3 linked regions of the Drosophila melanogaster genome follow. The protein of the gene in region 3 purifies or fractionates together with the protein of the main gene of each other region. This does not show direct contact. Each region holds a gene or a part of one and is shown on either strand. Other genes may lie near its edges.

Region 1 (10,325 bases), on a different chromosome or scaffold from region 3:
GAAATGCACACGGATATCTGATTTATACGGGAGATTAATAAAAAGTGCACGCGCGCAGCAGGGCAAATCGCAAATGTTGCACTCGATAACACGCTCGTTCGTTTTCCTTTCTTATAAGAAATCGATAGAGGCGTGATTTGTCTGGGCTTATCGAGGAGCGATTCCGATTGGACTGAATGCGGTGCGGTGTGACCGTTTCGCGGTGTATGGAAATATGAAAACTCTCAGTTGGATATAATATAATAGGGATGGAACAAAAAGCAACTAGCAGTTTTATTCAAATCGGATTGAAATTTTTAACAAATCAGTAATTTAAACCTAAAAACTTATAATATTGTAATTTAATTCGATGCAATAAAACACGACTTCTTAGGTTCGTAAATAATAAGAAAAAATGCACGGTTATATTGTTAACTGAAAATTACTTCCCTTTTCAAAAACCATAGCATACATTTTGCTGCATTGACATCAAAATAAGCCCATAAGAATATTTTTTCTTATTAGAAATTATACAATCTTAAAAACTTAAGTATTTTACTATATAATCCACTAGTATATAAAAATAACATCTGTATACGTTTTTGTCCACGTGAATGCTAGTTGATTAAATAAAAATGAAATGTTTGATCAACTATCTGTTGTAAACTTTTGTATTCTCCTTATGTAGAACTCGACCTATTACAAGTATGCTTTTACAAGAGGCATATTTATCCGGATGAACAGTCAAATTCAAAAAGGCATATTTCAAGGCTGTGTCCACACTTATACCGAATCCGTTATATTATCGAGGAATTTACGCTATCGATGAAAGAAACCACCTAAAAAATCCACGCTTATGTCGAAATACGATACTGATTTAATATTGACGTAAATCTTGTTATTGTTTTGATGCAACAAATATTTAATAAAGTTTAACTAAAGATCATTTATCCGCCGTTACATCGGCAACAAACTTGGTCGAGGAATCAAGTCGCCCGTCCGCAAACTGGACGGAAGATTTGCCACCTTGAGGTGGAATCACCGGCAACCGGCGTGATCGCTCTCAAGTCAAAACAATGGTGTCCAACAGAAGTCCTCCTCCGAATCATGGTCCCTTGCCGGGGTCCAGTGGTGGCACCTCCCTGCTAGCCCTGTGCCTGATCCACTTCGTCCTGGCCGTGATCTCCGGCTGGGGTCTGAAACGGAGCACCGGCAGCAAGGCGATGGCCGCCTTTGGGATCTACTTTGGCCACAGCCTGCTCTGCCTGCTGCGGCACACGCATCCCAATCCGGGCGCAGTGCAGCGTCTGCTGTGCGACAAGTCGAGACGTTACTCCTGCGTCCTATTTGTCACCCTGGTGGTGGGCGAGCTGCAGACCGTAAATCCGGCCACCCGAATGGGTGACTTCTTCGGCGCCGACTGGGAGCGTCTGGCCTTTGGACTGTGGAGCGCTGTACTGGCACTTGCAGTCACCAGCTTGTGGTTCGGCAACAGTCGCAGTCCACTGGGTGCCACATTCATAAAACTGGATGCCGCGCAATTGGGCCTCTGTGTTCTGTGGAATGTCCACTGTCTTTGGCGCATCGCCATCGTCGACGAGCACTGGTGGTCACTTGGCCTGGCCCTGCTTGTTCTGCTGAATCACTTTGTCCTGTGGCGACTGCCGCTGCACTACAACATCAGCCAATTGGAGGTGGCCACCGTGGGCATGTGCTTTAGCACCATCTTTGCGCTGAATGCCATCCAGGAGCAACTGGACGCTGTGGCCAGCTGAGAGTAGCTGGTCGGGCAACCAGGGACTGGAGCCTTGATTGCCAAGCTCTAAGACACCAACATTTAATTATAAGATGCACGTTGTTGAACAATTTTTTGAGTAATAAACCAGACTTCTTATTTCGAAACAATTATTGCATTGTTATCATACATACATAAAAGTGTGGAATTATATTGGATTAGACGGTTTCCTTTTGCATAAGCTTTTTAATACATATTTTCGTTTTAAATATAGTTTAAATTACTTCTCTATGCGCTTTATTACATATTGATCTGGGCTTGGAGTTTCTATACTCTCGGTTTTGTTCGCCGGCTCGAAGTGTTCCACGCAACGAGCACGGCCTAGCCGAAAACTAACTCTCATTGTTAAGGAAAATTAAATGTAGCAAGTATCGTTAGAAAGAAAACTATATATATATATATGTATACGATTTAAAAGAATGTGAAAACAAATCGTACGCCTACGAAACTAATAATTGGGGCGAGAGATGGTTGTGGTGGGTTGAGGGATGAGGTTTTGGGCGGGGCAATTTCCTAGGCGTGGGTGCTGTCGTCCTCGACGAAGTCCTTGGCCTCCTCCCTGGTCACACAATCAATGTGACTGACCTTATTTCGGAATCGCACGCCGTAGAACTTGTGCGCGTTCTCCAGCAATTCCGGCCGGAACGTTGTCGTAATGAACTGGGCAGTGTCGCTGAGCTCATGGATCATGTTCGCCACCGCCTTTCGATGCATTGCATCCAGCGCCTGCACAAAACATTAGTAGATCATTAGTCAATCAAATAAAGTAATGCGTAATTATAGGTAATGTGACGACTCACCTGATCTATCTCATCAAATAGGTAGAAGGGAGCTGGATCGCACTTTTGGATGGAGAAAATGAGGGCCAGGGCGACAAGCGACTTCTGTCCACCAGACAACTGGTTCATCTCACGCATCTCAGCCTCAACGCCGGTGAACGAAACCCGAATGCCGATCCCTGTGAAAGCATCGGAGTTTTCCACCTCCTTTTCCATTTCGTCGCCTTCGTTGTCCTTGGTCTTCAGGATGAGAAAGCCCGCGCCCATGGGCACCAGCTTCTTAAACACCTTGGTGAAGTTCTGCGCCACTTGTCGGAACGTAAATTGAATGGCCTCCACTTTTTGCATCTCCAATGACTGAATTAGCATGTGGATCTTCTGGTCACCGATGTCGAGCTCCTCTTTGCGGCGATAGAGCTTCTCCTTCTGCTCGGAGAAGCTCAAGAACTGATCCAGGGCTTTCTTGTTCACATGGTTATACTTCTTCAGGTGCTGGTTTGCCTTCTCCAGCTCTTTGAAGATGTTCTTCAGGGACATGCGTGTGTAGGAAGGATCAACTAGCGGCACGGCGCCCAAGCTGGCAATCTTTTCCGTACACTCATCGATTTTTTCGTTGAGCATGTTCTCCTTGGTCGACCATTTCTCCAGCTGCTTGGAATCCTTGTTAAGATTCTCCTCGGCCTCCTTCTCCTTACGCACATGCGTTTCGAGCTCCTGCTGCAGCTCCTTTTGCAGTTGCACAGCCTCCATTACCCGCTTTTCGATCTCCTCCAGATCGGAGTTGACCTTCTTGATTCTCTTTTCGGCGGAAACCAGTTCCGTTTTGCAATTGTTTAGCTTTCGCTTGCGGTCCTCCACGGAAATCTCCTGCAGCGCTTGGATCAGTTCGTCGCGACGCCGGAACAGATTGTTGATCAGCAGGTTGTCTAGCTTGTTCTTGCGCACCTCGAACTGCATACGCTGCGTAAACGCTTCCTTATTCTCCTGGTTCAGTCGACGAATGTCGTCGTTCAGCTGGTCAATCTCACGCTGATCCTGCGACGACAACGTCGACATCAGCTCCTGCTTCAGCTCCGCCTCCAAACTAGATTTCGTACTGGTCATGGACTCCAATGAGGCCTTGCATTGGGCCAGTGAGCGCTCCTTGGGCGCACGATACTGCTCGATGCGCACCAGCTCCTCCTTCATCAGGCGAATCTCGCCCTGCACCTTTTCGAATACATCCTTCGACTTGCCCTGCTTCGTTTCCGTCTTCTGCATCTCGGATACGATTGAGTTGATGTTGTTCTCGGTGGACTTGAGCTCGTTTCGCAGCTTGCTGAGTTTCTTTTCGAATTCAGCTATCTGGCTGGTGTATTCCGTGCGCTTCTTTTGCATCTCAAGACGGGAACGGGATGTATTGAAATAGCCGCCAGTGAGGGATCCCTTGGAGGACACTTGATCTCCGTCCAGCGTAACGCAATCCAGCCCAGTGCTCTTGGCCAGCTCGGTGGCGCGCTCCAAATTTCTGCAGATTAGCGTTTTTCCAAAGATATACCTCAGCGCCTTGTCGTGCTGTTCATCGTACTTCAGTTTGGAGATCATAGGTATGGAGTCGGGATCATCCGGATAATCGTGTATTTTAACCTGAAGTCGATTCAGGGGCATAAAGGTCACCTCGCCCGGTAATTTCAGCTTATTCATCTCCTTGAGGATTTGCGTGCCCTCGTATTCTGACTCCACAATGTGATGGAATAACCGATTGGCGGCTGTTACCTCCACCGCCGTGTAGATGGTCTTGTCGCAGCTGAAGTTCTCAATGACGGGTCCATAGTAGGCTCTCGCAATCTCCGCCGATTGACCGCCACGTTCCACAAAGCTGTCGAGAACCTTGCGCACAGAATCGCAACCGTTCAGGATCGGCTTGCCGGCCATGCTGCGCAGCGCCTGGTCCGCCCGCGATAGCTCCTCCTTGTGCGTCTGCAGCTGCTGCGTCATCTGTGTCTCCTTGCGCCACAACTCGTTTCGCATGGACTGATGCTGGTCCTTGGTCTTCTTAAGCTCGTAGTACTTCTTGTTGTGCTCGTCGATCTGCAGTCGGAGCTGCTCCAGTTCCGATGAGTGCTCCTCGATCTTTTGACCCAGATCCTTTTCGGAGGTAGCGTCCTTCTTCAGATCCTCCACGAGTTTTGCGTGATGAGCGATTTTATCGCGCGTCTGTTTGCTAATTGACTTCAGCTCGTTGGTGATCCATTTGTCGCGATCCTCCCTAGAGGAGAACTGTGAACCGCGACCCTGCTTGGCGTAAAGCTCCTTGCGCTTCTGTTCCTTGAGCTGCAGCTCTCGGGAGCAGTCTTCCTCCTTGCGCTTCATCGCCTCGTATTTGGGCTTTACGTCGTCCAGTTCCTTTTCGCGTTCGGCTATCGTTACCTTAAGGTTCTTAAGCTCCTGGTCAGCCCGCTCCTTGGACTTGTTGTCGCCCTGAACCTCGTCATTTAGATCGACAATGGTTAGGTCTAGTTTCGTTTTCTCGCGCAGTAACTGTTGCTGCTCCGTCATCAGTACGGAGCGCTCCTCCTTTGTGCTCTGCACTTTCTTCTTTGCCTCTTTAAGGTTCTTTTGCACATCCTTGATCTTCTCTTGTGCCTTCTGAATCTCAATGTTGTAGATCTTCTTTTTGTCCGAGGACGACTTGCGCTGCAGCTGGAGCTCGTCGAGAGCCTTCTTGGTGTCCTTCAGCTCGGTTTCGTAGCGTATATACTCTAGCGTGCGGCGCGTCTTGTCCCACTTCTGGTACTCCTTTAGCTCTTCCTTCTCCTCTTCGAGCGTCTGGAGCCGATCCTCGATGGTCTTTAGGTACTCGCTGATTTTCTCCACCTTGCTGTCCGTCTCGCGCAATAGATTTAACGACTCCTCCTTCCGTTCGTCGTAAACACGCGTTCCCGCGACTTCGCGTAGCAGCTTGAGACGATAGGAATCGGCGGCAGTTGCCATCTGATTGATTTTGCCCTGCTTGACAATGTAGTAGGGATTTGAACTGGAAAAACCAGCCGATTCCAGCAGATTGACCACCTCATTGCGCGGCACCACCTTCTTGTTGAGGAAGTACTGGTCCTTTTTGGCGCCAATCACGCGCCGCAGAAAGATCTCTTCTTTGTCGATCTACAAAATAAGCGTAGCGTCAGTTATGAAGTGGCTAGAAATGTTTGCCTATAAGTTTGAATATTATGAGAAGATGCTATGAGCGGGTTGCTTTAGAGGATTTTGAGCGATATGTTACAACCATTGACTACATCTTCCAAGGCAGTAGAGTTCTTGCAAAGACTATGTTTTCTGGGTCACTTGGTTTGACTACTCACTGGAACTCGGTTGTCCGAGTTGTCGAAGATGATCTCCACATAGGCGGAGATGACGCGGGCACCTGTTCCCTCGTGCAGAAGCGACTGACGCTGCTCCGGCCGCAAGTGGGTGAACTCATCGCTTAGCACAAACTGGATGGCTGCAAAGTGGATGGGATAGCATTAGGGTCGATTAAATATGGTTAGCTGAACAGGCAGGCTGGAGCTGATACTAACCGTAGAAGAAGTTGCTCTTCCCGGAGCCATTACGTCCAACAACAACGTTATGGCGCTTGTCGAATGGTTCCACCACCGTCTGGTCCTTGTAACTCTTGAAGCCTTGTATAATAATCTGGAATTAACGGGTGGATTTCAGATCTTCGGTGTCCAATGGGTGGCCAGGAGCATGGCCGTCATTTCAACACTCACCTGCTTGATGTGCATCTTATTATATGCGATTTTTTGCACAAAATCGCGCTCTTTTTGTTTTACAACAAATACATAAATAATATCGACTCGGGCAGCGACTTATCGATGTTTGCGTTTCACTATCGATGTCATCGATATCCCAACTTTGAAAAACACTGGCTTGCAATCGAACCAAAAATTCAAATGATATAAAACAAAAAAATAATTTTAAATTTTACAACTAAAAGTGTCCATCAATAATGGTTTAAGAAGCAAACAAATAATTAATTTAATAAGGTAGTTTGAAGGTGTGAAATACTAAAACAACGATAGCCGACGTTATCGAATCGAATCGATTACTCTTGTTAAATTCACTCAGTACAGATATATTTTTATAGAAAGCCACTCGATTCATTCGATATAAATAAACACGGAACACCGTTTGTGTTTATTATATTACGACGTGTCTGTATTTTGACCCGTGCCCGAGGATCTGGAAAGTTCGCGATTGCCGCCAAAACAAGCAAGGACCCCATTCGGGTGTAGCAGGTGCAGGAGCAGGTGGACAGGAAACGGAGAAGCAGCTGAAGGAAACTCAAAGGAAGTGGTCACAGTGGGGAGAAGGAGCCCGTGAACTGAACCATCATCATTACCATCGAGCGCATTTAGGATGGCTGGGTCCGCACTGCGCCGCCTGATGGCGGAATACAAACGTGAGTCGAAAGTCCACAGGGCAGCAACAGCTTTCCCTTACCACCGCTCCGATCATCTCCAGAGTTAACACTTGACCCGCCCGAGGGCATTGTGGCCGGCCCCATCAGCGAGGACAACTTCTTCGAGTGGGAGGCACTGATTGCGTGAGTTAAGATCCCCGAACGATCGACACGGATCGGACAGATGTGGACAGATTAACCCATTAATTGCACTTTGCCCTTTGCAGCGGACCTGAGGGCACTTGTTTCGAGGGCGGAGTGTTTCCTGCCCGGCTCATCTTTCCGACCGACTATCCTCTGAGTCCGCCTAAAATGAAATTCACTTGTGACATGTTCCATCCCAACATATTCGCCGACGGGCGGGTCTGCATATCAATACTACACGCACCCGGCGACGATCCCATGGGCTACGAGCTATCCGCGGAGCGCTGGAGTCCTGTCCAGAGCGTGGAGAAGATTTTGCTTAGTGTGGTCAGCATGCTGGCGGGTAAGAAAAAAGTCACAATAAAGTCTTAAGGGCAATTCCAACGGGGGTATCTACTTCCAAGTTCATTTGTTCACTAGATTATATGGTTGATCATGCCGATAGTTCACTTCACTTGTTCATTCCTTAAGTTCAAACTGATGTCGTTCATTTTTGCCCACAGAACCCAACGATGAGAGCGGCGCTAATGTGGATGCAGCAATTATGTGGCGCGAACAGAGGGATGAGTTCAACGCCATCGCCCGACGGCTGGTGCGCAAAACTCTTGGTTTACCGGCGTAAATGGATCATGTGCGTCACCGTCAATACTTTCTACCCTGAACAACACGATTCCAACAACTCGCTAACCCATAGTTTTCTCAAAAATCCCTCGTTGAGCTAACCGACACAAGTTTCAAATTAGCAAAAATGAAGAACCTAACGTCAAAATCGACTAACTCAAGTTTATCTAGCACACTGACTGCCTCACCGGACTTAACTGGAGGGCCTATTACCTGAAGTACATCACTGGTAGTTGGACACGAGGCCAGGTGAAGGCGGAGTGAGAAGTTGGCAAGAAAAGTGAAAATTCTAATAATTTCTATTATTAAAGGTTTATTTTTTTTTATATATTTTCACTAGATATAATTTGTATTGATGCTTTATAAAGATGCTGTTTTGAAAAGTTAAATAGAAATTACGATAATTCAAGTGCAAGGGCAATGTATTCGAAGTGATTGAGGCGTTTGATTTGCATTATGCTTTATGTTTGGTTTATATAGTCATTACACACTTAATTCGACTGATCATTAACTGAAATCCAACATGAAATTGTCCTATGTACTCATAAAATACTACACAATTGTAAACGTTTTCATTCGATTAAGTAAATTGATTAATGTTCACTTTGATAAGGCATACGACTGTATGTATGTATATATATATATATATTTATATGTTTATAGGTAGGTGGGTAAATGCACACCCATACACATACATTGGTTAAGTGTCCACTGGTATGAGGGTAATATAGTTATCTAATAGTTGCTGAAGGTTACTAAGCCACACGAATTTCAATTGACCGGGCCCGCATAAATTAATGCTCTCTGTCTTCTTGGTTTTCGGACCATAGATGGGCTCGAAAATGTTTACACCATTCGATCGTTCGAGTACGGTGGGCACCACAGACTTTTACGGCCCACTGTACGTTCCACCAGTTAGTCAGTCAGTCATCAAAACATTGCCAATTAGTGGGAGTGGGCAAGGGCTGCGCCAGTTCGGATTTCCATTGACCCACTGTACGGTGGGTGGGGGAAGTCAATGCAGATTGCTTGAATTTTCTGCTTGGTGGTCTACTTGGGTTGCAGCTATCGTTAAGGTGCAGTTCTTATCTAAACTATCCTTATATAAATTTTATAGATTATATACCAATCAGATAATGGAAAAAACATCGCATGCCGCTTTATAAAAGTCTACGTTTCCGGAGAAAAACCTTTTCTTTTTGTTTAAAACATTAAAAATCTTTCGTAAGTTGAGCTGGTTGGTTTAGAATCATGGTTAAAAAGTTCACTTTTCTCTTTTTTGTTATTCAAAAAATTAAATACAATTTGCCTACATTAAATAGTAGTTAAATGAAGATAAAATTATATTCATACTTTGCTACTCTATTCAATATAATACCTTTTCTCTATATATTTCACTTGAGAGGCATTCAAAAATATCACTTTTCAGACTCCGGTTTCTGCCCATTTTGGCTTAGAGCTCTCACCTGGCTCTCATCAATAAGTTTTTGCCTGTTACTGGCAACAGGGTGTGTCATAGTGTAGATGTGTGACAGTGAATGTGGCGTAATTAACCTTTTGACAAACCGGTTAAATACAAATATCTAGTGCCATGACACCGTACAAATAAAAATAACAAAATGACAGCAGAGCAAATAGAACATATGTATGCAAACGAAAAAGCGGGATTCATTCAGGGCGGGAATAGGTGGAATTGGTAGTAAACACAAATATTATTGGTTCGATAATTATGTATAATTACATATGTATGTATTAACGTATTTTGGAGGGGGGGAGAGGAGAGGAGGCGCTGAGTCAACAGCTAACAAGCAAACTTAACACGGTCACATGAGGTCAATAAAATTAGATCAACACGGCGGTTATGGAAACAGAGACTAAAGAATAAAGATATCCAGAGCCTCGGCTAGCTAGTCAACATGGTACTCCGTCCGATGGGGCGAGCCGTGCCGCTTCTCCGCCACAAAGACACCACTGACGCCGGCCAAACTGGTCACGCCCCGGACTCCGGTGCTGCGGAAATATATCAACAGGTATTGCTCGCCGTGACGCAGTTCCACATCGTCGGCGAAATCTAGCCGCACCAACTCTTGGGCATTAGCCTCCTGATGGCGACGCTGTCGCTGGCGATTCCTGTGATGATGCCGACCCCTTCGATGATGCGAGGGCGTCTCAAACGGATCCGGTTGGTGATTGGAGTCCGAGGATGAGGGCGACTCAGCCTGATTGACATACTCGTAGGCTACGTAATCCGCCAAACTGGCGTACTCCGACGGAAAGATGCCAATCCAGTCGTTGGACCCCTCGTCGAACTCTGCCTGCTTGTGATACTCCACCGTGTTCTCGTCCCCAATCTTCCAGAGCGACAGAGGCGAGAACACCACGCCGGGCGCCCGTACATTCGGGTAGAGCTTGATGGTAAAGTCACTGGTCACCGGCTTGTGATCACTGATGGTGTACAGGGGATGGGACTTATACGAGCATTGCTCAATGGATAGCTGCATGCCGGGCTGCCGGTTCAGTGGCTGCACGGCGTACATTATCCGATCCGTCCAGGCTGGCCGCCGCTTCA
Region 2 (8,628 bases), 4.8 Mb from region 3:
TTCCTGGCTGCTGCGAAGATGCTGCACTGGCAGTGTTTATCATGATGGGTCGGCGTCGCATTTCGCGTTTGTACTCCTGCTTTTCAAACTGACCGGCAGAGTAAATAGTCTGCTTAAGGTTTTGCAACTGGGGATACTTCATGGGACGCACATAAGTGCGACGGATGAATTTCAGAGGCAGCGCCTGTTGGACTTGTGCCTGGCCAGGTTCGGCTGCAGGTTCTGCCGGAGGTTGAGACGGCCCTGCTTGATCCTCAACTGGCGCGGCAGCTGCGGCACCCCATCCTTGGCGAGGCGTGCTCAAACGACTACCCAGGACATTGCCACGTGACGATTGCCTGCCATTGGAGTCCGGCATTTGACGATTGGTCAAACGTTCGAAGGACTGGTTGCCGTTGGTCGGATTGGCATCATTGGCATTTACATTAACCGACTGCCGATTGGCCAAGGCTGCAATCATGCGGTCGATATGGGAGTAGTTAGCTCCCTGTGGTCCTCCAGCAGCAGCAGGGGGCAATGCGGCTGGCGGAGCTTCAGCGGGTGCAGCGGCCACAACAGCATCTCCACCTGCACCTCCATCGTCGATTACTACGCCATCCACGCCTACCGTAAGATTTGGAATCAATTGGTCTAGGCTACAGCTCTCACGACCAGGCACAAATCGTTGAAACCTTGATGGATGCGGGTTGCCATCTGCATCGACCAGGAAAGGCGGGGGCATTAGGTGCGGCATTATCTGCGTCTGCTCGTCCACCACATGGTGCTGCGCATCTCTCAATAAAGGTCGAAAATCCGTGTGAAAGAACAGCTCCGTGGGAAGCTGAAAGAATAAATACATTTAACTTTATCCTTTGAAAAATACTCCTCAATCAACTTACCATTTTGTACTTTTCAATGCACACGCCCAAACCAAAAATCAGGATGTGTCCATGCGAATCGGTGGCAGCTATCATTGTGCCATCCGGTGACCACTTTGCATCAAAGACACTGCCATGGCCTTGGCCATCGATGTCGTTAAGGAAGTTGGCCACACAAACGCCCTGCTCGATGTCCCACAGAAATACCTGGCCATCGTGCCCGGCGGAAAGCAGGACATGCTCATCTCTTGGGTTCGACTCAAGCACATAAAGCTCATCCTTGTGCCCACGCAGAACACGATGCAGCTTGGCTGACTTCGAGTCCCAGATTTTTATCTGTTTTTAAATGGGATTATTAATTATAAGTAAATGTTTAGCACGTTTTAAGACGGATGCTTACAGTAAAATCGTTTACGGCGGTGATGACATAACGGTCCGAGGCATCCCAAGCCACCATGGTTACCTTAAGCCTCTTTCCCTCCTCTGGTTCCGGGCAGCTGCAATTTAATTACAAAGCTATTAGTTTTCAGAGAATTCCTTACTAGCTAGAAACATTTTAAAGAAAATCGCACTCACCTGGCCAGACGCTCCGTCATGCATAGTTTGGAACTTTTCCACTGCTGCGACTCAAACGTCCAGATGTGTGCTGTGCCGTCCTTGCTCCCCGATATAAATCTCAGTCCACGATGCGACCACTGCACCGAGTCCACGGCATCTGTGTAAGCTTCCGTCTCCAATATTCGCTTCGGACCGTCCTCGCCCATCATATAGACGCGCACATGGTGATCGGCAGACCCAGCGGCCAGAAAAATGCCTCCTGGCGAAAAGGTGGTACACATCATCTGAGCTTGTCCGGGCCGCAGTTTCTCATGATACTGCGTTGGCTTCGGGGCAAACGTGATCTTTTGCCCGCGCGGCGTTGAGTATTGCCAGAAGGCGATCGATCCATCTGTGCTGGTAGTCACCAGATATTTCAGATCGCTACGTGGCGACGGACAAAAGTTAACCGAAGTTATCATGCCCGTGTGAGCAGACAGTACGGCGATGGGTGATGTGGTTTGCATGTCCCACACTCTTAGTATGTGATCCAATGACCCGGCAGCCAGCATCGTATTGTCCAAGTTAATGGCTATGTCTGTAATCTCGGATGAGGCGCCTCGCAGAGTGGCCAGCAGGCGGCCATCTGCCGCTGACCATATCTTAATAAGTAGATCATCGGCTCCGGTGATGATGTATCTTCCTGTGCGATCAAACAGAACACAGTACACTGAGGACAGGTGGCCCACAGTGCGACGGAGCAATTTTGTTCGGCGGTAGAGGTCCGTGGGCACGAGGAGCTTGCGACGGACTTCCCCGCCGTGTTCCCGTCCAGTTAGAACGCGATCTTTGGAAATATAAATGGGTTAGTCTCTAATATGCGAATAAAACTCTACCATGCAACTAACCTAAGTTGTGGGTCGGCTTTGTAAGGACCGAATCCGGCAGCGAGACTCCATTCAGGCGGGTGCAGTAGTCCCTTAAGGAGCGATGGCAGTAGACGGTTTCCTTGGTGCGCAGGAGGTTCTGGCGCCCAGTACCCAACAGCGAGTTGATGCCCGGAACACTGGGCGGAAGCTCGCGATCCACCAGTGGACCCAGACGACTGCATATTTCAAGCAAGTGATTGGCGCCAATGTGCTTGTACTTTCGTTCCTGCGAATTCAAAATCAAAATTTAACGTATTCCTATCGATTGGGCGATAAACGGTGCGATAGCTTCAACAACGTATGCTTGTCTCGTTCCCTCGCGCACAAGTCAAGGCAAAGTGGTGGTTGCTTGCATGTGTCTGTGCGCATGGGCATGTGTATGTGTGAGAAACCAAAATGTCGGCTGGTTGCAGCTAATTGTTAAAACTAAATTACAAAGCATTTGTTTAAAAAATTAAGATTTTTCAAAATTTACAATTTTTACGAGGGTTTTAGAATTTTTGCTTTCCACTTTAGTCTTTTACGAATTTTTGCAATTTTTTGCTGCCTTTTTAATTAAATAGTTGCTTACTTATTTGTTAATTTAACAGTCAGAATGATTGATGTCTTTAGTTGTAATGTTTTTTAAATTAACAACTTGAATTTTGATGTGCAACTTTTTCTCTATTCCCTGACACGATGACGTCACAAAGGCGAGCGAACGACTGAGACGGAAAATGCCGCAGCAGACGCACACTTACGCAAGACTTAAATGCCGATCAAAAGGCATTAAACGATAACTTTGAAAAGCTAATTGATTAATTATGAAAACACTCACCAATTCCTCAAAGGTCTGCTCATGCTCGTTTCCCTGCCAATCGAGACGACGCGGCAAAACCTGGGAATCGAAAGGTGTACGTATATATAGACGGGTGTAAATATATATGCATGCATGTATGACTCTTATCACTTGCACTCCGTGACGTCGACGATGACGTCGCGGGGGCATCCCTATGATTCCATTTCTTTTTTCATGTTTTTCTCTTCTTTTTTTAATGGACTATATATTCACGTGGCCCCAGCAAATCCACAATTCAGTCTGATTCCCAACTCTGAGACAAGCGGACGTACAAGTGGGTTTTTCGTCGTTCGCTGCCGGCAGCAGAAACAACAACAAAACCAAAACAAAGCGTATAAACAAACGCGGTTTTCTATTTTTTTTTTGGCCCCCCTCTCAATTCGAGTCCGAAATATCTGTGCCAAAAACACAGCTGCAGCACCAACAAAACTCACCTTCTTCTCTTCGAGTTCCCGGATCAAGACCTACAGTTGGATAGAATTTAGTTTCAGAATTAATGTAAATGTTTGTAAACAAAACGAAATTCCGCTCTTTTAGCGCGAAATACGATTCCAATGCGATCTCGCGCGAGCGCTGCTTTCAACCCACCTTCGCCGTCTCCTCCAGCGGTCCCGCGGCCAGGAACTTGGAAATGAGGAAGTACAGCTCTGCAAGATAGAGGATTTCACGGGTTTTAGTGCAACAAGTTGTCGAAAATGCGCTCGCTGGGAGTCGTCAATATTCCAGATATATCTGGCCAAAGGGGCCCGTGAATTTCGCTTGGCGAAACGCAGTCGAAAAAACGCAGCCATTCGATTCGAAGGGCGAGCGAAACACAGACACACATTTCACAAAGTCAAAGGGGCTGCCTTTGGTAGCCCCGTTGGACGCACTCGCTGCGCCACCGGGCGGTACGCACCTGGCTTTAGATCATCACCGGAACTGGGTTGTCTAGTTTCCATTATTCATTGCGAATTGCAGCTCCGATTATGACAAAATTGCAGTTGCTTTCTTCTAAAATTCTTTTCGCAGCTTCTTCTTCCCGTGTGACACTCGATTGCCATTCCCACCGAATGAAATGCCTTTGCGTATCGATAGTTGGTGGCGGGGCTCACAAGATGGGTATCGAGTCTTAGCCGAAGGAGCCAATTTTCGTATTTGAATTTGAGATGATGCACTGAAATGCTTCGCAGGATTCTACAATCTAAGATATTTACTTCAAATTGAGAATTTTAATTCTCAGTCAAACATATTCGTAGCCATTGGTTTGGAATTTAAGCTTATTATGAAATTTATATTTAGCTATGTGATTAAATAAACTGTTTGCAATTATTCGCTTTTAATTTTCGAATGTAATTTAATAGCTACTACACAAATTCTTGATAACTAGACTTATGATTTAATGAATAACAAGTGAAATCTTTTTATATTTTTAAATTGTCCCATTGGTGTTGATTATTTTGAAGTTATGTTGCACTTCAGTTCATGGCCATGGCCAGGAGCATTTTTAAATTTCAGAAGTTTTTAATTTGCCATTTTAATTTCAAATGAAATTTCTGTAACTATTTATTATTTTAAAGCTATGTTTATAGAAAATCGATATATACATTATAAAACGTGTGAATTAAACGTGAATACCCTTAATGTCAAACGCACACCACTAGTTATGAATATCGGAGCAGCTGCGATATTTTTTTTTTTTGGGAGGTTTTGCCATTTTCTAATGTAACAAAAAGTGGAGTGTAGCCACAAAGTAAGCGTAAATAATAAATGCTCGCGGCGAATAAACAGCGAAAAAGGCGATAGATAAACCAGCAAACATGGAGTGCAATCTGGGCAGCGAGATTGGTCAGAAGATGCGCGTAAGTCATTGGAAAAAAATCAATGAACTCGTTATGGATACCGCTCGGATTGGATACTCCAATACTATATATATTTTTGCACTTCATTAATAGAGCGCCGTAAAGGCAAAGCTGCTGGAGCTGGGAACCGGAGGATCGGCCGGTTTTATAGACGATGAATTGCCGGACTACGTCATGGTCATGGTGGCCAACAAGCGCACCAAACAGCAGATGAACGCCGAGCTGAATCTATTCCTAGGCGATCAAACTGACCTCTTTGTCACCTGGCTGCACGAAGTGCTGCAAAAGCTCCAAGAGGTCACACTCCCCACATCCAGTGGTATGATGGATATGCTCATCATACTTAAGCACCCACTAACTCCAATTTTTTCAGCTTCCAGCAAGAAGCGCAAGTCTCGCGGTCAGGAGAAGGACAAAAAAGGATCCAAGAAGGATAAGCGACCGCACCGAAAGTCCGGAGATGAGCTGTCGGAACCACAGCCAAGTTCCTCAGATGCCATGCCAATTGTCAGTTCCATCACGGATGTTTTTGCCGAAGAGCTTCTCGAGAAGGCAAAGAAAACCATGGACATTGATCTCAGTGCCAAAGACGAGATCCTGCACAAAAAGAAAAATCGCAAGTCCATCGAGGATGAGGATGCATCGGCCAATAGGGCGCTGGATGTGCCCGCTGTGTCTGAGATCATCTCAACTACTATCGGTGTTAACCGGCAAAAAGACCTCGCTGAGCTGGCCGAAATCCAAAAGAAAATTCATGCAGCCAAGAAGCATTTACGCCAGATTGGCGAGATCGGGGATGAAAGCGATGAATATGATGAGGATCTGTTGAACTTGAGCGCGAGGGAGGAGTCTGTAGACCAGGAGCCAGAAGAGGATCCCCCGAAATTGGAGGCTCCACCACGAAAAGCTAAGAGCCCCATTATTTTTAACAGACGCGAGAAGACACCCGAAAAGCGTCCAGAGGCTGAACCGGAGATCGATTCCCGCCAGGAGGAGGCGGAGGAGAAGAGCCCCAAAAAAGATTCTTCGGCTGACAAGGCCAAGGAAGACCGGTCTGAAAGGCGATCGGTGCATGACCGTCTCGGTTCAAAGGCCCAAACGCCGGCAGATCGTTCGCAGCGCAACCAAAAGGAGCTCTATGTGCCGACCCATCGGCGACGGAGCGAACCCGAGGCCACCAAAGAGCGCAGTCAAAGAGAGCGCACCCGAGAACGACGCTCCAGCCGCGATACCTCTAGGGACACTAACCGTAATCAGCGCCAGCGTCGTTCGCCTAGTCCGGAGGCTCCAAGTACAAAGCAACGCATTGTCTCCCAAGTTATTGTGGCCGTTAACAAGCCACCGGAGCCGTCGGACGATGAGGATATGGCCGAAAAGCCAGTCAACTCCGTTATTAAGGTCAAGCCAAGACCAAATGTTTCTCCCAGACGACAGGCCTGCAAGAACCTCCTGCTGCGAGCAGTGGCGGACGCGCAGCGTTCCACAATCCTCGCCAAGACTTCGACACAGAAGGAGGACGAGGATGTGGGCAAGATCATAAGTTCTCTAGGCAAGCGCAAGTCGGAGGATAAGAATGATCAGATTCGTAAACGGAATCGCGAGAGGAAACGAAGAAAGAGAAGTGCACAAGGCAACGAACTCTTCCGGCGCACCACTCGGGAATTAGTGGTAAATGTGACACAAAGGGATGGAAAGCGTGAACGGCGGTCCAACGAGCGTCGCGCCGAGATCAAAGTGGTGGAGGAAGAATATACGCCAAGCCTAATGACTGAGGGCGTCGAGACGTATGTGCCGCAATTGCTGACCAACGTGGATGAATTGGATTTGCACATCAGCTCCCACGACGAGCCAAGTCCCAATTCCGGAGCCCTCAAGACTCAGTTTGTGGTCACGTTAAACGGCGACAAAGCTCTCGGAGGTAAGAATGTCAAGGGAGGGGCCTCTCGCAAGCGGCCGAGCAACTCTCGTAAACGATCCACCTCACCCGTATCCACGCCACAAGTGTCCTCCTCTAATATTGAGCCCACATCTACGACGGTTGACAAGCGACGCCGATCCAATCGGGATAGAAGCTTCTCGCCATCGCCGAGACAGAGCAGTGGGTCACCCTCCCTGCCGACAACACGCAGCATCAATCGCAACGAGGTACGCCGTCAGCCTCAGGAAATCAAGAAGATCATCATAAAAAATGACACCGATGAAGATGATGAAATGCACGGGTCACCGAAGAAACGATCACCAAACAAGCGCCAGCCAGCGGCGGCCAATGGTCACAAGGACAATAAGGATAAGGGTAAAATCGAGGAAGGCTCAACAACTCCACCGCTGCCAGCCAAACCAAAGGCGCGGGCGGAGAAGAAAGCTTCCAGCAAGGAGAAATCCGTAAGATCTAATTCAGCGGAGACGTCATCGGCCGCCAAATCTGTCAGTGCGTCCACTTCCGTTTCGACAACTACCAAAGCCAAGCACACGCCCATTCGCTTCACTCTTAAAAGTGAGGACGAGCCGAGTGCGAGTAAGAAGCGTCGTTCTGGCAGCCCCGATCGTGATGTCGCGGCTCCGGAGAGACGCAGGGTATCCATACGCAATCCGGAGGACAGGAAATACGACAACTTGCCGGCGTGTAAGTGTATTCTTTCAATTTTAACAAATTTGAACAATTACTTAATATCTTGCCCCAATTAGTGAGCGCAGTTAGCGTGGATTCCACCGTGCTGAAGGTGAACAAACCCAAGGAGCGCTGCAAATATCATCCAAACTGCACAAAGCAGTTCTGTGAGTACTATCATCCAACGGCGCCGTGCAAGTCTTTCCCCAACTGCAAATTCGCGGACAAGTGCATGTACTCGCATCCGAAGTGCAAATTCGACATGGCCTGCATGAGCATAGACTGCAACTACGCCCATGGCGGTCAAAGGGATCTAAGCCATGTCCAGCTTGCTGCTCCACCACTATGTAAGTTGATAGCCTTTGTATTTAATTTTACAAACTCACAAACTTTTTTTTTAATTTACAGCCTCTCACGTCATCCCAGTGCAGAACTACAAGTCGATATCGGCTCCTGTTACATCCACGACTGCGACTACCATGTGCAAGTACTATCCGAATTGTTCCAAGCTGGGCTGCACCTTCTATCATCCCAAGCCCTGCCGCTTCGGCAAGAACTGCGTAAACAAGCTGGAGTGCATCTTCTACCATCCTGAGATGCAGAGCAAATTCAAGTGGGTGGCATCTTTGGGCTAATGTGGACTGCACTTTCGTTCAAATGATATTTAGCAAATGTACTCTATTTCGAGTGTATGATTAGGCGAGCTTGGAGTTTTTTCTATCTATATACACCGAGTTGTATACCTTACCTATTTAATCTTCATTATTATTTGCATTCATCCTACTGCTTATAATTATAAACATGTGTATTAGTCATTAGAAGCTCGCTCACATACATGATAAACATAACTTAACTTTGTTGGTCCTGCGAATTTGGTTGCATTCAAACCATAAGATACACGTCATGGTAAAGCTGACGAATAAATTTAGCAATAGTTGCTACAAATGAAAAAAAGAAAACGATTTTTATATATAGTTTGCCGTGTGTCTTTAACTGGATAATTGAATAGGCAATTGAT
Region 3 (10,421 bases):
CCACTCATGAAGTCAGTGGACTCCCTACTAATCGGCATCGAGACCGCCACGGAATCGGAGTCAGAGGGTGAGTTGGTTTAGCAATTTGAGGGGAATAATCTTTTCAAACTGATGCTGATGCCTTTCCAGACGAAAACTCTCTGCGCATGGACTGGGAGGCGGTGCCCAGCCTGACACCGCAGCCGGAGCTGGCGGATCCCAATCTGATGCCGGCGGCCAACCAGCAGTCTACCATCGCCTTCGTGCGAATGGCGGCCACATCGGTGCTGCGCTGGATCAAATGATCGCAGACCAACAGACGTCCGATCTTTCGGCTATATCATCATGAGACACGCGTGTTATCTTTTACAAATTAGACTAAGTAATCGTTTCTGTGACAGCACGTCGGTGTTTATCGGCAGTTGCTGGTTTTAGCGTTATCCTTTGGTTTACAGAACTAATTTTGTATCAATTATATATATACATATATATTCGCTGTGTGTAAAGAAAATGCGCCTTTTGGATTTATTTCTATTACATAACTTATTCGCCTTTATTTAATAAAAATGGTTCTCTATAAATAAATATATATAAATTTGCTTTATTAATGCTTGCATAGTACACTGACTTAGTAGGTAAACGACTCAATGAGAAACAATAATTAAACTGGTGCAATAATTGGAAAATCGGCAGACACAGCTGCGAATGAAACCTACCTAGAATCAGCACTAGAATCTTAGATTAGAATCGCAAGGGAACGAGCTGAGTGACCCTAGCTAAATGAACTTTGTGGGCAGTTGTTGCGTGGATGGGCGAGCAGCTCCAGTCGTGGTCACCACATCGCCGCCAGCGCTGGGCTGCGGCAGGCTGGGTTTAACGAATACTTGTGGCAGTGTGTTGGCAGAGGCTCCCACCTGGGCGGCGGACATGGAGACGGAGCCGTTGGCCAGCAGGTCGTAGCGCGGCGAGGCGTGGCTCATCGTGGAGAGCACGATGGCGGCGGCCATCGCCTCCTGGTTGTAAAAGGCCGTCACAGCAGCCGGAAGGGGCTGCTGTGCGGCCGATCCCGAATGTCATTGGCGCGTGGGCGTACTGGGCGCTGAGGATCCCATTCCTCCGCTTGCGCCCTTGACGCTGTTCGGCGAGAAAGCCGCTTGAATGAATTGCTTTTCCATTTCCTTCAGATTTGACATAGTTTTCATTATATGCGGATCGGTGAGATCGTACACTGGACCCAGCGTTCTTGGGCTATTGTAGATATACATGTTATTCGCGCTGTAGCCCAGGGATCCATTTACCTGCCCCACCGCACCCAAAGACGACCGACCTCTGTTCTGAGTCTTGTTCTTGGGCTTAGACTGGACTTTCTTTTGGGGCTTAGAGGCAGGAAAAACTCCCACAATCTCAACGCCATCCGACTCGCTGCTGCTTTCCCTGGCTACCGACGTCGTTTGCGCGGCCTTTGAGATGGCGGTGATGACAGTGGTGGTGGCAGCTAGCTGCTTGGACGTCTGAAGTATATCGCTGGTGCATTGATAGTCATCCAGGTTGATCACATGGGGAGAGGGCCGAGCTCCCACAATCACCTTGGCTTGGCCGTCTCCAGAATGCGGACTGGGATTCCCGCTGGCTGCCAGGGAGGCGGCCGTGATCAGATTGTAGAAATTGTTGCTGGTGTTAAGGTCAATTTTCCGGCTAGGGGATGCCAGATCCAGAACCGTACTGGCGGCTGCTACGGCGGCGGCATTGAGTGCTGCTGCCTGAGCCGAGGTGCTCGGCATGGAGAGCAGCGTGTCCAGGTGGGGCAGGTGGTTGTTGTTATTGCTAATGGCTGGTATACTGACGGCCGCCGTGGCAGCCGGCGCCAGCTGGAATTGCGGATGCGGAGTAAGTTGCGGTTGCAGCGGTACCTGCTTAGCCACCTTTTTCTTTGGCGGCTTGCTGGTCTGCTTGGGCATCTCCTTCAGCTTTCGCTTCAGACTGTTGGAGGAGGCACTTGTAGCTGAGTCCGTATCGGAGTTACCTCGAGATCGAGGGTCCTCCACTGCCTTTAGGTAGCTGCTTGCCGGCGGCATTTGCTCAGGAGCAGATACAACTCCAACGGGCTTGGGCGATGCGGACGCCGGCGGTGCCTTTGGCTTCTCCTTTGCTTTCAGCTTGGCGTTCTTGTAGCGTGTTATTTCCCTTTGCAACTCATCCAAACGCATCCAGCCTGGCGGCCACAGTTCCACCACCTTTTCCTTGAGATACCAATTGATGAACTCCTCCAACGATTCCTTGCGCTTGGCTAGGAAAGCGTAGGACGTCCAACGCGCTTGGTACACATCGTACAGCAGATGGCGTAGCTCGCTGGTCCACTGGAACTTCTTACGCGGCATTTTGGGCGGCAGTTCGGAGTTCACGTCCGCAGCTCTGAAAATAATAATCATAATCTAAAGGAACCTAATCGTTATTTCGCTTAACAACAATCTTACGCCTGTTCAGCAAATGTGCGCAGTTCCGTCTCATAGTTGGCCACCGCCTTAGGCATGACCACAGCTACAGCCCGCCGCAGCTTCTCCAGCATAATGGTGGACTTCCTCTTCTCCTCCTTCGCCCGCACTTGTTTCCCTTTGCGCAGCATGTAGTACTTGGGCAGTTGCAGCTGATACTCGATGTGGGAGAAGACCATGTTGCGCTCGTTGCGGTCCGTGCACAGCACCGCCTCGTACACCCTGGTGTAGGTTAATGGATATAAGCCTTAAATCTGTACTTGATGTTTACATCGGCTGCAAACTCACCGAAGCAGTAGTGGCGAAAGCTTCACATCCAGATTAAACTTCTTGCCGCACATGTCTCGACTCTTCACCGCTTCTTTGAAGCTGTTGACTGCGGTCACAATGTCCGCATCCAATGTGGTGGGGAGCAGAGTGTCGGCGGTGCGAAGATCTTAAAAATGAACACGTGAAAGGGTGATTTCAACCAACTAATACTGTATATGTAACTCACTTTCCTGCCCATCCTTGCCATGCTGACCGGCCTGCCTATCTGCCCGGCCGTGCTCAGACTCCATATCGCTGCTATCGCTGCTGGACACGTCGGTGGAAACACACTTCAGCTCGCCGTTGCCGACGCCCTTGACAGCTGCCGTGCCGCTCTGCGACTTCAGGAAGCTGTCTCGCTTGGCCTTTAGCATGTCCTTGACCGTTGTGGTCTTAACCACCTTCTTTAAAGCTTGCGCCTGGGCCTGACTCTGCGGCAGGGACTGAAGCTGACTTGATGGCTGAGTCTGGATAGGGTCTTGGCCGTCTTCCGTGTCCGAAATCTCCACCGTGCTGGGTCGTGGCGAGTTTGAGGATGAGGAAGTGGTGATCGGCTTAGTCGGCGGCTTCTTGCCACTCGTCAAAGAACTTGAGCTTGGTTTGGACTTGCCCGTAACGATGACCTTGGCCCGCTTAGCTTGATGATTGTCTTTGTACTTGCTGCTGGATTTGGCTGTAGCAGCAGAGTCCTCGTCCTCAAGACTTTCACTCTCGGAGTCGTCTTCGGAGTCGCTTTCATCGTTCTCCTCGGAGTCGTCCTCGGAATCGCTCTCGTCGTCCTCCTCATTGTTGCCATCATCGTTTTCGTCATCATCGCCCGAGGATGACGATGAGCTTTCCGAGCTGGACGAGACCATGCGCTTGCGTGATCGCTCTGGCATTTTGATGATGGCATCTGTTCGAGTGGTGTAGGACTTCTTGGTGAGGTTCTTGAACTCCAGTGCGCCACAGTTGATGTAGAAGCCGCCCTCCAGAGTTTCCGCCTCCTCCGGTATGATTTCGTCGTACTGGACAGAACATAGAGTTTAAGGTAAATAATTTCAGTGCATTCGTCGGAAATATTTCTTGTTCTTACGGCTTCCGTGTTGTCGATGAATGAGTCCGACTCATCGTAGCCCATTCCAATGTCCCGGTAGTCGTCCTTTTTGCTCTTCCCCCTGCCTGTGGCATAGGAGTTGCCATACTTGGCCTCCAGCTCCTTGACGATCCGTGCCACATCGTCATCGTTGTCGGCAAAGGGATCAGTGCTTGCGGAGCCATTGGTAGTGCTCACCTGCTTCAGCTTTTTGGTCTTTTTCTACGGATTGCAAGGGTTTAGAAAGCGATCCTCCAACTGAGTTATACACTCTTACCTTTTCCAAATACAAAAGCCGGGAGTAGTTAAACTCGGGATACTTGTTCGAATCGGTCTCGAACAGATCGAGTTTGATGCGGATGCACTTGGCAGTCTTTGTCGTGGGTTTGGAGCTGTTGTCGGGTGCAGCGGACGCAGCATCAGGCTCCAGGATGTTGCTGCCGAAGCGCGAGAAGCCCGCATCGCCCTGGATGATCGAGGTGAGGGTGACGCGCTTGTGCTCGCCCCCCTTTGACATTTCCGGCGGGCAGAGTTACGGATATTCAGTGGGATAGGGTTTCCTTTGAGCCGAAAGGGCCTTCCCGCCCTTTTTTTTCGAAAGAGCCGCGTGTTCTTCGTTGCTCTTTCCCTCTCTCTCTCTCGCAGCCAAACAAAAACAACAGAGACGTCGCTGCTGCTGATGCTCCTCCTCCTCCTTTTCCGCTGCTTCCTCTTCTTCTGGGGATGTCTGTTTTAGGTTTTCTGCACGTACACCAAGCAACCACAACCACTTAATAACCGTGGCAATTTCACTCTGAGCTGCACTTTCTTGTTGTCGCCCCACAAACACTGCTTTATCAACATAAACAAATGGCGAGGACCTGCGCCGGATTGCACTACTTTAATCGCCGCCCGCTTTGCAGCTGCATCCGCCGACCACGGCCACGAATAATTGTCACTTTTCTGGGGGAATGAAAAAGTGGAAACTTTTTGGGGGGTTTCAAATTGGTTGGCTTGCCGGCACGAAAACAACACAGTCTGTAAAAGCAGCGCACCGGGGATTAAACACACGCAATCGACGCTACCAAAGGGGACATTTAAACGATTCGACCAGGCGCTTTTCGCACGGCCAGGAGCGCGATTCTTAAATTGTTTCTTGTTAAAATCCTCAACGCTACATTCTCTCCGCTCCACCCCGCACCAAAGATCCGACCCTGCTTTTGGCTTTCGCACTCGCGTTGCGCAGCACTGGTCGCGGTTTTCGCAAATTACTCCGAGCCGTTCACACTGCGCGCAGCACAAGCCGAGACTTGCTGCGGCTGGCTGCATTTGGCAATATTTAGTTGTTATGGGTGCTATGTATTTCCAAAATTCCGTTAGTTAGAAATTCATTAGCTTGGCATCTAGCTCATTTTTAAAGTAAAGTTTCGAGCTACCAAGTTGATAGGTTACGTAAAATATATAGGTGGCTTATGCTGTTGTAAGCTTAATTGTTTAAAAAGGACCCAAAATCAAAATATAATGTAAACTTTTTTATAACTTACGCGGCTCTAAAACTTTCCAACAAGTAACGAGATCTGGCTTGAAAGCGGCCAACACTCGCACTAGCTTTTGTGCATCCCTGTGCAGTGCCACATTCCACACACATTTCTGCTTTGTTTTGACCAGAACGGGCCGTTGTGCAGCACTGTTCGGCACAGCTGTTCAGAGTATGGGGCCGCGGGTGGTGGGCAGATTTTCTTGGGGCGATTCAGTATTATTTCGATTGTGAAGGAGTTTACTTCGTAGAAAGTCAAGTGCTCGCCGTTTAATTAGCGCAAGTGCAAGTGAGTCGCAGTACGTGAGCTTGGGGGCTTAATTTCATGCGCCCGCTCCACAACAAAAACAAGCGAAACGAAAAGAGTTGCATGCACAGAAATTCGAATTCGGTCGAAACTGCAAGGTGTTATTATAACGGGAATGGCCAGTGCTCGTTATCGGGTGAAAACGATTAGGATTGTGCAATTAACAAAAGTGTGCCGTGCTGCTCTTTTCACAATCCAATCCAACCCAATCCCCAACTCCCCCACCCCCAATCCCCAAGTGGCACCACACAAACACTAGCACATAAACACTTATGCTGCCTTTATGCTTGCAGCCCCACTCGAGCTCTTTTATGTATGTATGTACATATTTATCCAACGAATGCAAGTGACCGACGTCCAAAGAGCAACGTACGGGATACGGAGCTCCGACAAAGGCTTCCCGCTTTCAGTGGTCCGGTGACTTTCGCCGGAGTAGTGACTCCGTCCCAGGAAACCAGCTAAACAAAAAGCCCCCAGCCGCTCGTAAAAAAGTGTCATGAGACAATAAAGGAACTTTAAGAAAGAAAGGAAAAGCGACGAGAAGAGTGGAGCTCCTTTGTTACATCTCTGGAAGAATCGTTCGGCTCCGAAGCAAAGGTGAGTAATACTGCTTCATTACGAAATTACGGGGCCTTGTACATTTGTAGTTCCAAAAAACAACAAGGGGAAATCGTTCATATGGGAAACAAGAGACTACCATTATAAGATAAGATCAGAACTGCGACTGCTTTCTTTTATCTCAAGTGACGTAGTCCAAGGTGAACACAGTAAACACTCGATGCAAGGACAACTTAGGTTTAAACCAGTTTTCTACACTACAAATTATGCAAATGGGTTAGATATCAAAACGAACACCCGTTTTCTTATCATGTCTACAAGTTTCTTTGCAAGAAAAAAAGGTTAGCTACTGAGAGTGTTGCCCGTAGCACTGCTTGAATGATAAACTCTACTCCCAGACATTGAAATTCCTACACCAAAATGGAGTTACGGCAATCGACCTTGAAACATGTGGCCCCAAATGCCTTGCCAACCCAAATTGGTTTCCCATTTTCTATGAAAACTTGTGTGTTTTTTTGGTAATTCATCTATTAAAGGCGGCAGCCAGTTTTTCATCTCAAATGGACAGAAGCCGCACACAAAAATAAAGCGATACACATAAACAATCAAACAACAGCAACAAGTGAGCGCACAAATTTAATTTGCTTTTTAATGCGTCATTATTGCCGATTTGCGACATGCTCGAGCTGCTTTACTGCTACCTCTTCGCAGATTTTCGCATCCCCAAGAGGTTCGTACAGTTGCGATCGCTATCGTTATCAGGGGAGCTCTTAAACCGAATGAGCGATACTTTATTTATTTCTGCTCTCTATTTGCTTTCATGATTAATTAAATGAGTCTGCTGTAGGAGAATGTATTAGCAATAATTATGGATAATTCACCAGCCCATCCAAAGCCATTCTTAAAGTTCATTTATCCAGTAGAAAACTTTGTTACAGAGCTAGGTTCATTGATCATTAAAAGGTTAAACAGTCTTATTCATAAACATAGGAAGAAATATTATTTAATTGTGGTTCAATCCAAAAGGGATCGTTGGCCGCCTGTCGTTGATATAATCAAACCGCACTTTGTCGCCGACAATTTCATTTACTCATCGTACTTTCCCCAACCAAACTAACAAATAAACTAGAACAAAAAGAGCCGCTGGTGGTTGGCTTCACCGCCAACACGACCACCCACTACAGATTCGGTTTTCCATTTTTAAAACAATGACGCATGCACGGAAATAAATTACATGATATACGCCTGACAATCTCATTACCTAGAGACGACGACCCATCGATAGTGGCTCTATGTATATACATACATAAAACACTCGGTTCTTCTTGGACTCTTTCAGTAGAGAGCGATGACGGAAAGCGTGGAGCTGATGAACAAGTACGGCGAGCCACTGCGCTACGACCGGAACTTCACGGGACCGAGGCAGAGGGATCGCAGCTGCACGGATGTGCCCTGCCTGCTGTTATTCGTCCTCTTCCTGGGCGGATGGGCCTTCATAGCCCAATACGCCATCAGGAACGGCGATCTCAACAAACTGCTGGTGCCCACGGACTCCTTTAACCGAAAGTGTGGCATGGACTCCGGAGTGCTGAACAAGAAAAACCTATTCTTTTTCGACTTGAATCAGTGCATCGATCCACTTGTACCCATCACTGGATGTGACACTCCACAGGTGAGATACCATTAACATCAAATTTGCAAGGAGTTGATCTTACTTTTAATGAAATACGTATTTCAACAGGTTTGTGTGGAGACTTGTCCCCGAGAGACGTTCGTCTGGGACACTATGAAGGACAAACAAAGTTTTGCGGAGCTGCATAGTCGCCTCATCTGCTTGTCGGAGGAGCACAAGGCGCAGATTCGCACCAAATCGGACATTCAGGATGCCATTAACCAGAACCAGTGCGCACGCTGGTACATCAAGAGTGCTCCATTCCTCAAACGATGCCTCTTCGAGTTCTCGCAGGGCGTGTGTGATTATATTCCCTCGTTTCTGCTAAATGGGGGAAGGTCGAGGCGGGAGCTGCATATGTTGCCCGGAAACGCCACCACAGAAGTTCAAATGCAGGCCGATGTCATGTACCAGAAAATGACGGATGCCCAGGCTCTCGTTGTTCCACAGGCGAATGGCAAACAGACTCCAGTGGACGAGGAACCGATCATCCAGTGCAAGCGCAGACTCAACGAGGCTGTCATCAAGGAGAAGATGATGCAGACCGATACGAGGCTGGCCAAGCTCGTTGGTAACATGGTGGCCCACTTCTACAATGGCACAAACGACGCCCAGCTTTTGGGAGAAAAGATTGTCGAGGATCTTGTCAACTCCTGGTCGATCGTTTTGGTGGCTTGCTTCTGCACCCTGGTAGCCTCACTGATCTACATCGCTCTAATGCGCTGGCTCTCGGCTCCGATTCTCTGGTTCTCCATCTTCGGCGTGCTTATCGGCTTGCTGGTGGGTATTTACTTCTCCGTAAAGCAGTACATCCACTGGGAGAATACGCCTACGGTTCCCGTACACGGCTTGAATCTACACTCCACGGTCAAGAATGTCCTGCAAAACCAGAACACCTGGCTCTACCTGTCCATCTTCGTAGGCGTGTGCTTCGTGGTTATCCTGTTGCTGGTAATTGTGCTAAGAAAGCGCATCCGGATAGCGATCGCCCTAACCAAGGAGGGCAGCAAGGCGGTGAGCAGCGTGATCAGCACCGTGTTCTTTCCCATCTTCTCCTGGATACTCTTCATTGCCGCCATAGCGTTTGCCATTGGCGTGGGCCTGTATCTGGGCTCAATTGGCGATCCTTCGTTTAGAATGGTGCGACAGCTGACGAAAAGTGGCGAAGTGACCACCGAGGACTGCGTCTGCGAAGGTCCAGCCATCAACTACACAGTGGGCGGATCCTGCAAGCCAGAAGTGTTCCAGCAATATTGTAGCGTTCGGCTGACCTCATTTTTCCAGAACCGAAACCCTTGCTTGAACACCACCTGCAGCTTTGACTCGATTAACAATCCAATCGAGATTAAGTGGGCCATCTTCTACAACGTCTTTGGCTTCCTCTGGCTGAGCTTCTTCATCTCCGCCTTCAGCTACATGGTGCTGGCCTCGACCTTCGCCCGATGGTACTGGACCTTCAAAAAGAGGGATGTGCCCTACTTCACCCTTACAAGGGCATTCTTTCAAACTGCTGTCTACCATCTGGGCACCGTGGCCTTTGGTTCGCTCATCCTGGCCATCGTCCGGCTGATCCGTCTGGTGCTGGAGTACATCCACGAGAAGCTGAAGAAGTACGACAATGCGGTGACACGAGCCATCCTCTGCTGCATGCGCTGCTTCTTCTGGTTGCTGGAGACCTTCCTGAAGTTCCTCAATCGGAATGCCTACATCATGTGCGCCATTCATGGCAAGAACTTCTGCTCCAGTGCCGCGGACTCGTTTAATCTGATTATGAGGAACTTCCTGCGTGTGGTGACGCTGGATCAGGTCACGGACTTTTTGTTCTTTTTGTCGAAACTGCTGCTAACCGCAGGGGCGGGGGCGTCCACCTACTACTTCCTGGACAATAATCCGAGCATTATTCGGCTAAATTACATAGCAGTGCCCACCACGGTGGTGGTAATTGCCGCCTTTCTCATAACGAGCGTGTTTTTCGGTGTGTACTCGACGGCAGTGGACACACTGTTTCTGTGCTTCCTGGAGGACTGCGAGCGCAACGACGGCTCACCGGAGAAGCCGTTCTTCATGTCCAAGCAGCTAATGAAGATTCTTGGCAAGAAGAACAATCTGCCGCCGCGTCAGCGCCGCGGAAAGTAGGAGACAGCAGTGCAAATTATAACTTTATTGAAGTAAAACATATATATATATATTTATTATAGCCCAAAACGAAACGATCGGGGTTGTGAGCGATTGCTCAACCGGCTGCAATTGGGTTTGCATTAAATGCACGCTCCTTTGCCAATACTCTTAATCTTTAATCTAGTGTATATAATACGCCAGTATCCGTATCCATATGTAAAGTTTTTTGTGCGGCTAGACATGTGATAGGCGCGGACCATAAAGACCAAAAGTAATACCATACAATAACATGTATACAGAGACACAAAAGTACATATCTCACATTCATGAAGTTTAAGTTAACGATAATTATTATAATTTTCGAATTTAATAAAAATGAATTCATTGAAGACACA

Evidence for each region.
Region 1: the proteins of yem (region 3) and SMC3 purify together in Drosophila melanogaster (affinity purification with western blotting; one study listed by BioGRID). This does not show direct contact.
Region 2: the proteins of yem (region 3) and BRWD3 purify together in Drosophila melanogaster (affinity purification with western blotting; one study listed by BioGRID). This does not show direct contact.

What each region holds. Positions count from the first base shown.
Region 1 is NC_004354.4:16,587,053-16,597,377, forward strand, and holds SMC3 (structural maintenance of chromosomes 3), read right to left. Parts: upstream 6,388-10,325; 5' UTR 6,315-6,387; coding exon 6,300-6,314; intron 6,223-6,299; coding exon 6,108-6,222; intron 6,032-6,107; coding exon 5,892-6,031; intron 5,695-5,891; coding exon 2,575-5,694; intron 2,501-2,574; coding exon 2,288-2,500; 3' UTR 1,944-2,287; downstream 1-1,943. Other genes in the region: CG13014 (uncharacterized protein), read left to right, coding at 1,056-1,754; Ubc7 (ubiquitin conjugating enzyme 7), read left to right, coding at 6,949-6,991, 7,054-7,135, 7,219-7,478, 7,639-7,757; CG9784 (uncharacterized protein), read right to left, coding at 9,664-10,325.
Region 2 is NT_033777.3:24,314,589-24,323,216, reverse strand, and holds the start of BRWD3 (BRWD3), read right to left. Parts: upstream 4,218-8,628; 5' UTR 4,103-4,217; coding exon 4,060-4,102; exon of another isoform or gene 3,809-4,059; coding exon 3,750-3,808; exon of another isoform or gene 3,626-3,749; coding exon 3,596-3,625; exon of another isoform or gene 3,435-3,595; intron 3,201-3,434; coding exon 3,141-3,200; intron 2,550-3,140; coding exon 2,303-2,549; intron 2,242-2,302; coding exon 1,434-2,241; intron 1,355-1,433; coding exon 1,258-1,354; intron 1,194-1,257; coding exon 879-1,193; intron 821-878; coding exon 1-820. Other genes in the region: Nab2 (nuclear polyadenosine RNA-binding 2), read left to right, coding at 4,961-5,002, 5,096-5,321, 5,376-7,625, 7,688-7,957, 8,019-8,245.
Region 3 is NT_033777.3:29,117,830-29,128,250, forward strand, and holds yem (yemanuclein), read right to left. Parts: upstream 5,051-10,421; 5' UTR 4,373-5,050; coding exon 4,133-4,372; intron 4,078-4,132; coding exon 3,856-4,077; intron 3,788-3,855; coding exon 2,968-3,787; intron 2,908-2,967; coding exon 2,760-2,907; intron 2,694-2,759; coding exon 2,454-2,693; intron 2,392-2,453; coding exon 1,053-2,391; coding exon of another isoform or gene 756-1,052; 3' UTR 501-755; downstream 1-500. Other genes in the region: Atg14 (Autophagy-related 14), read left to right, coding at 1-67, 130-284; Ctl2 (choline transporter-like 2), read left to right, coding at 7,585-7,908, 7,978-10,044. UniProt on the Drosophila melanogaster protein: May play a key role in egg organization. May be a transcriptional regulator having a role in chromatin remodeling in concert with Hira, a histone chaperone. Involved in chromosome segregation by affecting kinetochores function in the first meiotic division.